Linked DNA regions of Macaca fascicularis. Each later gene encodes a partner of the first gene's protein in a complex. Links are inferred from orthologs where the notes say so. Each region holds a gene or a part of one and is shown in the gene's direction. Other genes may lie near its edges. The genes, in order: CTNNA1 and CDH26.

Region 1 (3,816 bases):
CAACCATCCAATCCCTCAACCATCCAATCCCTCTGTTGCAGAGAAAAAGATGATTTGAGTTGTTGAGTTGTTGTAAAATACTGCATTTATTTCAACCATAAATACTCCTCACATAGATAGAAGCAGAGGCTCTTCATCATAAGCCTCACCTCTTTCTGTCTAGCTGAGTGATTCAGGGAGGGTCAGGGGAATGATGCTGCCTGCATACCAGGACATCTGCTGTGCCCCTTTCTCCACAGTCATGCCACGTTTTACTGAGCAAGTAGAGGCGGCCGTGGAAGCCCTCAGCTCGGACCCTGCCCAGCCAATGGATGAGAATGAGTTTATCGATGCCTCCCGCCTGGTATATGATGGTATCCGGGACATCAGGAAAGCAGTGCTGATGATAAGGGTGAGTAACTGCATTTCAGACTTAACAGCTTCTTTCTTATCATTTGCTAAACTTGAGCAATGCGTCATTCTAGAACTCGGCAGATGCGGTAGCAGTATATTAAAACCATGAATCTAAAATCTGTTAGAATGAGATATATTTAATTATGTTGTCTAAAATGACTGTTAGTTGCAAGTTAGAGCCCAAACTTGGGCCAAGAAGAGGAGCTAGCCTGAGTTGACGATTTAATTTAGGATAAACAGTCTCTACAACATGAGGCTTCAGTTTGAGTTAGGCAGGAAATTATAGAAAATAATGGTTCTCAAGCTAGTATCAGAGAAGGAAGTCTTTTCGTAATGCAGATTCAAGTTACTGTTCACATGGAGTGCCCCTCTCTTCGGAGAGGCTGCAGGCAGACAGGATGATGGAACCCCAGGGTGTTGCGGGGAGAAGTGGCCCCAGGTGATGCTCCTAGGCTCATGGCCAAGTGCTGAACCCCTTTCCCCATAGCCAGAATGCCTGGAGGGCCTGTAGCAAGGGCAGAGGAGAAACGGGCCTCTGCGGCATCTGTGGTTGAGCTCCCGGCTTACCGTCCTGCTCTCTGACACTATTCCTGTCTTCATTCAAGAATTATCCTTCCAGCCCCTGGGCATCTCAGTTTCTTGATGTCTTGTCCTCCTCCACCTCAGCCTCGTGGCCATAGCCGTACCTCAGCTTTTGTCACTGCCTGCCATTGTCTTTGTCATTCCCAGCAGCCCGGTTCTATTGTTGAGGTTGCGCCCTTGAGTCCTGCAACTCCCAGCGAGCCTTTTGAGTCCACTGTGGGGTCTTCAGTCAGTTGGTCCTCCCTGTTTGACACTCACTCAGCCCCTTGTGTCCTTGGTTCAGTCTTTTTTCAGCTTTGAGTCCATAGTTGAATATTCTCACTCCTCTGCCCAGCTGTTTCCTTACACTTGCCTTGCAAGGTGCAGTCTTAGCAAGATCCTGCTCTCCTGAGCACAGTGCAGATGGCCACAGCCACGCCGACGGAGCCGCAGAAGCCGCGGCCATTTGTGGGCCCTTGCTGCCCTGCAACAGGTGCCCGTCCACCCACCCACACCTGTGCCCCTGTGCTATTTGGCCCTCTTGCCGATTTCATTGAGGATACTGAGGCAGTTAGTACGGCCACCCCGCTGCATCCATGCCTGTGTGCTCTGCCTTCCTCCTAGGACTATGGGCATTGCTGTTGGTGCTTCTGGCTGAGGCCGTCCCTTGCATGTCCTTGTACTGGGGTCCCAGCTTCTTCACCCCCTGCCTTCTGTACCTTTCCCCAAGCCTATGATGATTTCTCCCATTTTTAAGGGGGAAAAAATCTCTTGACCCACACCCCTACTCAGTCTCCTTGGCTGGTTTCTCCCCATCTCCTCAGCCTGTGAAACATGGGTGTGGCCTGCTGGGAAGTCCTTGGCCTCTTCAGAGTCCTGTCTAGAGGCCGACTCTCCTAAGTTCCACACTTGCCTGTGCACCTTGCCTCCTCCCTCTCACTTGCTCCACCCAGGCAGCACATGTTGATAGTGACTCCGTCTTCCCTTGCTCATGCGCAGACCTCGGATCTTTTATTTCCCTTTTGTCCCATACCCCACATCCGCTTTATCTGTGAATTCTTTTGGCTCTCCCTTCACAGTAGAGAACCTGAACATGTTCTCACCCTCGTCCAAGCCGCCAGCACCTCTCACCCGGGTTCATGCAGGTGCCACTCAGCTGGTTCCCCGTTCCAATCCTGGGTGCCTACAGTCTCATGAGCCACAGGGCAGCCAGAGCGATTTCTCTAAGCTTCAGTCAGATCATGCTATCCTCTGTGCCATCCTCTCTACAGGCAGCCACGTCATTCTTTATGCTGGCCTACAAGGCTTTCTAGGACTAGAACCTGTCACTTCTCCAACCTCATCTCCTGCTGATCTCCCCTTGTGCTCATGGGGTTCCAGGCAAGCCGGTGACATAGGGGCAGTGAGCTAAGCCCCCCTTCTGTGGCCTCCTTGCTATTCACGCAGTTCCCTGGGCCAACGCCCCTTCCCCACAGCCTCAATGCTGCCGCCCGCCCCGCCTACCCCTCGAGAGCACCTTCTCATCAGACTTTTCCTAACACCCGCATGGAGTTAAAACCTCGCTTTATTCCTCTCTGCTTTCTTTATACACTGGCCACTTTTGATGTGTCATATAATTCATTTGCTTACTTTGTTGCCATTTCTTCCATTAGAATAGGCATGAGAGGAATTTTTATCTGTCTGTCACTTTGTATCTCTAGGGCCCAGAATGCTTGGCAGAGAGAGAATGAATGAATGAATGAATGAATGAGAGTACTCGGTTTTCTTGGCAAGAACGGTTCTTGGGTCTGCGATGGGGTCCTGGGAAGGCAGAGATGATGTTAGGAGGTGGTCCTTTGAAAAGCCCCTTAACTGATTGCATGCCAGTCCCGAAGGCATGTGTGACTGCAGTGTTAAAACCGTCAGTGCTGGCATTGTGTTTTGTGTCACCAAGTCCGTCGGCCTCCAGGACCTCACGCGGACATGCTGTCTGGTGCCACCTGAGTGAGCATCCACTCCTTACCTCATCAAGGGACAGGCCCAGCCTTTGCGCAGCACGCTCTTGGTGGCTCCGGAATGTTTCTTGCATATCTTCTTGTTTGAACCTCACAGCAAGTCCTTGGGCTGCGCTTGGACTAGATCCTGGTACAGATGAGGGACTCGCCTCACTGCCCTCCTGTCACAGGCCAGCCGGCTGGGCCGAGCGCCAACCCCAGCTGTTCTGCCTGCTGCCCCCTTACTGATAACTGCCAGAGGACAACATTATGTTTCAAGTCAGTAGCTAATCATGAGAGGCTGGTAGTTGGTACAAAATAAGAATTTTATTTCATAATTAAAGCAAAGAGCTAGGACGAGTAATCAGTCCCTTGGGTATTTACTCAGCCCTTACCTGTCATATTCTCCCTTCTTTTCTTTTGATGAAAGTCAAAAGAATACTTTAAAATTGCCTATTTTTACTCCTCCAAGCAGCCTTGGTACCCTAACAGAAGGCTCAGTTATTTAATTTTCTTTTTGTCATAAAGTAGGAAAGTTAAACAAATCTGCTTAATACTATACAAAACACCTCTATTTTTAAGTCAGTACCTTTTCTATCCAGGACAGTTCTCATCTTTGTCTTTAAAATACAGGTGTTGGGGAAGTAAATTAGGAAGTAAAAACCTTATGTCGCCGGGCACGGTGGTTCACGCCTGTAATCCCACCCAGCATTTTGGGAGCCCAAGGCAGGGGTGGATCACCTGAGGTCAGAAGTTCAAGAGCAGCCTGGCCAGCATGGTGGAATCCCGTCTCTACTAAAAATACAAAAATTAGCCGGACGTGGTGGCGTGTTGCCTCTAATCCCAGCCACTCGGAGGCTGAGGCAGGTGAATCACTTGAACCCGGGAG
Region 2 (3,816 bases), on another chromosome or scaffold:
CACCTTTCTGGGACCTGTACTTTTTGTTGTTGTTGTTTGCCTGAGTCCAGGATGTTCCTGCTGTGGGGCCGCAGCAGGTAGCTGTGGTTGGCAACCTGGTAAGGTTGCAAAGGATGCCATACGATGGCTGACAGCTCTTAGGAATCCTGGAGGGTTTGGCATGGCCCACCCCTTAAAGCGGTGTCAGGTTCACAGAGGTGACGGGGATGTAGAAGACCACTTTGAGGAACAGGGTTACCCACCTGTGAACCGCTGGGGCTCTTCTGCAAAGGGAACACACCGGGGGTAAAGTCCTAGGCTTCTGTTGCAAGGGCAGTTTGGTTTTTCACACTAAGCTACCATCATCTACAGGCAACTGAAGATGGGTTCCTTTCCAGGATGAAACATTTCCCTAAGGCAGACAAAACCATGTTCAGTCCAACAAGGAGGGGGACAGTTGGTGTTCCGGTGAATGTCGATTCCACAGACTTAGGAGCGTCTTTAGGCTGTCCTCCCCGCGCCTCCATTCCGTTTGTGAATTTAACACTCTCATAGTTTAATTTCTCTTAGAATTTCTCAAATTACTTGTGGTAGAAATAGTGTTTCTATGACATATTTTGTTTTTTTCATGTAACTTTTTACATCTTTTGATGTAAGTTTTTAATTTTAAAAATTGCCATCCGTTTTCCTTCTACAAGATATAAACGGGTTCATGACCCAGCAAACTGGGTCAGCGTAGATGAAAACTCCGGAGTGGTCACCACCGTGGAGCCAATTGACCGAGAATCCCCTCATGTCAATGACAGTTTTTATATAATCATCGTTCACGCTGTTGATGATGGTGAGTGTTTACCCAAAATTGGAAAAATAAAATGCTCATTCTTGCTTCCTGCGGGAAAGTAATCCTGGTGAGAGTCTTTCAGCACAGCTGAGAAAAGGATAAAATAAACCTTGTTATCACTCTGCATCCATGCTGGTGATTATTTTTGGTAGTAATTCTCGAAATGGTAAACAAGGGACCAATACCATCGAAAGAGGGCAGTATTCATTCAGAAGAGACAATTAAATCAGCAAGGAGGCTGCAATCAAACCCAATATCTTTTTCATTTGTTCATGAGCTAACTCTTTAGCTCTTTGTCAAAGCCGATGGTGTGTGATATTTAGCACAGCTTCCCTGTGCTTGGGATGGCGTACGAGCTCAGGTAAATGGGACAGTAAGGGACACATTTGTCATCAACCAGGATGGGAGGTTTTATGAGCATGTTTCAGCACTTTTCTCTACGCTCTCCTAAGGCTGAATCTTTAAACACACCAAAACAAAGTTGAAGAAATAAAAATGTTCAAATAACTTTAACACTGTATTTAAGAAAGTCTGTGAACTAAAACCCAAGCTCCAAGTGATATGTCGCTGTACGTTCCACTCTGTAATTAACTAGCGGAATATTGGGGGTGGGGGGCAATGCAGATAGGAAACACGGATTCCTAATCAGTATTAAGGGAGGAGAAAAAGTGGGGCAGTGTTTCAGGGCTCCCTCATTCTGTTATGGATGATTTTATAATGGGTACTCTTTTTTTTTTCTGTTTATTTTTTGCTTTTCGTATTTCAAAAGCTTTTGGGGTACAAGTGGTTTTTGGTTACGTAGATGAATTATGCAGTGGTGAAGTCTAAGATTTTAGTGCACTCGTCACCTGAGTAGTGTACTTTGTATCCAGTGTGAGGTTTCTTATCCCTTGGCTCCCTCCTCCCCTGCTTCTGAGTCTCCAGAGTTCCTTATATCACTCGCTTAGCTCTCACTTACAAGTGAGAACATACAGTATTTGGTTTTCTATTCCTGAGTTATTCACTTAGAAGAATGGCATCCAGCTCTATCCAAGTTGCTGCAAAAAAACATTATTTCATTCTTTTTTATGGCTGAGTAGTATTCCATAGTATACATATGCCACATTGTCTTTATCCACTCATTGGTCAATGGGCACTTAGGTTGGCTCCATATATTTGCAGTTGTGAATTGATGATTGCCACTTTTTAAATTAGAAAAAGTCCTTTTAGATAATTGTAGATTCACTTGCAGTTTTAAGAAATAATCTAGTGGATCCTGCGTATCCTTTGCCAGTCTCCCCCAGGGGCAACACCTTGCAGGACTACAGTGTAATCTCGTAACCAGGACATCAACGCAGAGATGCAGCGCATTTGCCTCTCCTCAGGGACCCCCATGGGGCCCTTCTTTAGTCACACCCATTTTCCTCCACCCCACCCATCCTTAACGCCTGGCACCATTGATCGACCTTTTGTTTGTTTAATGATGCCACATTCTACCTTGTTCTACAAATGATTTGAGGTGGTAAGTGCTTTATTAGCTTACCTTACCCAGATATTCTGAATGTTCATAAAAGCAGGAAAATAGATCATCACATGCATGCCAGGAGAGTTATGATTTGAAAGGGAAACAGTTCTAGTATTTCAGGAATATTTGTTTTCTGAGAGACGGAGAGTGCTCCTTCTCCAGGGCTCTGTGTGCACGAGATAACCAACTCCTGAAACTTCCTCCCCGTACAAGGCTTCCCCCCGCAGACTGCTACAGGGACCCTAATGCTCTTCCTGTCTGACATCAATGACAACGCCCCGACTCTCCGGCCACATTCCCGCTACATGGAGGTCTGTGAGTCTGCCGTGCATCAGCCCCTCCACATCGAGGCAGAGGATCCGGACCTGGAGCCCTTCTCTGATCCATTTACATTTGAATTGGACAACACCCTGCGAAACGCAGAGGACACATGGAAGTTGGGGAAAAATTGGGGTGAGTTTTTGTACTGGTCACGGGCAAAGAGTGGAAAATGACAGACATCCAATTGAAACAGTTTTAGGCAAAAAAGGACTTTATTAGCTTAAAAAGCCAGAGAAGTCTGTTCTGGCAGAGCTGGCTCTAGGTGCTCAAAGGATATCCCTGGAAGCCACCTTCCCACACACGGTCTGCTTTTCTCTGGGTTCCTTCACTTTTAGGAACCTCTCCTCATCAGGGGGTAGGAGGCTGCTGGGAGTCCCTGAGACATATCCTAACATCTGGCAAGAAGGGTGTTTCCCAGGAAGCTCCAGGATTGATGTCACAGTTTGACCTGGGTCAGCTGCCCTGTCAATCACTGTAGGTGGGACTTAGGAGGGCAGACGTGCTGATGGACTGGTTCCCAGCCCACACCTGGACCTTGTTGGGATCTGGGCTCAGCCTCTCCTGATTCATACTGAGAATTTGGGAAGTGTGGGCTTCCCTAAAGAAACACTGGGGCACTGTTATCAGAAGATGAACCTGCTGAGCAGGTTAAAAGCAACTGGCACCCTCTGTCAACACTCTCCTCTGTGCCTCTAGCCATGGCATCTGTAGACTGTGGCACGGTTTCAGCTCAGACCTGGAGTGTATGGTAAAGAACTTCACCTTGCCCAAAGAGAGGTCTGGTCTTTGTCCTTGGGGTCTGGGTGATCTCTATTGGGATATCATGTCTGATACCGGTATCTCTTTACCTGGGTGTCTTGAGCTGAGCCAGACAGGGGCAATGTGATTTAGATTGGGGACTTCTAGTCACATAGTGTCAGTCGACTACCAGAGAGGTTGGAGACTGAGGCCACCCACCTGGGAGGCCCACCAGGTTGCCTGACCAAGCCCCAGGAGGACACTGGAGCCTGAGGCTCAGGTGAACGTCCCTGACTGCAGCATCCCATGTGTGCTGTCCCTCACTGATGCTGACCTGGCTTCTCAGGAGAGGATGATGAGAAGCTCTGACATTGGTGCTTTTCTGAACTCTGCCCTAGGTGCCTCTTTCCTTGTCTGATTTTCATCTGTATCT

The links.
Region 2: CTNNA1 (region 1) and CDH26 share a complex: the UniProt entries of both Homo sapiens proteins name them as parts of the cadherin:catenin adhesion complex. The link is inferred for Macaca fascicularis from reciprocal best matches to the Homo sapiens genes CTNNA1 and CDH26.

What each region holds. Positions count from the first base shown.
Region 1 is NC_088380.1:145,425,281-145,429,096, forward strand, and holds part of CTNNA1 (catenin alpha-1), read left to right. Parts: intron 1-239; coding exon 240-391; intron 392-3,816. UniProt on the Homo sapiens protein: Associates with the cytoplasmic domain of a variety of cadherins. The association of catenins to cadherins produces a complex which is linked to the actin filament network, and which seems to be of primary importance for cadherins cell-adhesion properties.
Region 2 is NC_088384.1:116,045,621-116,049,436, forward strand, and holds part of CDH26 (cadherin-like protein 26), read left to right. Parts: intron 1-677; coding exon 678-820; intron 821-2,537; coding exon 2,538-2,777; intron 2,778-3,816. UniProt on the Homo sapiens protein: Cadherins are calcium-dependent cell adhesion proteins. They preferentially interact with themselves in a homophilic manner in connecting cells; cadherins may thus contribute to the sorting of heterogeneous cell types.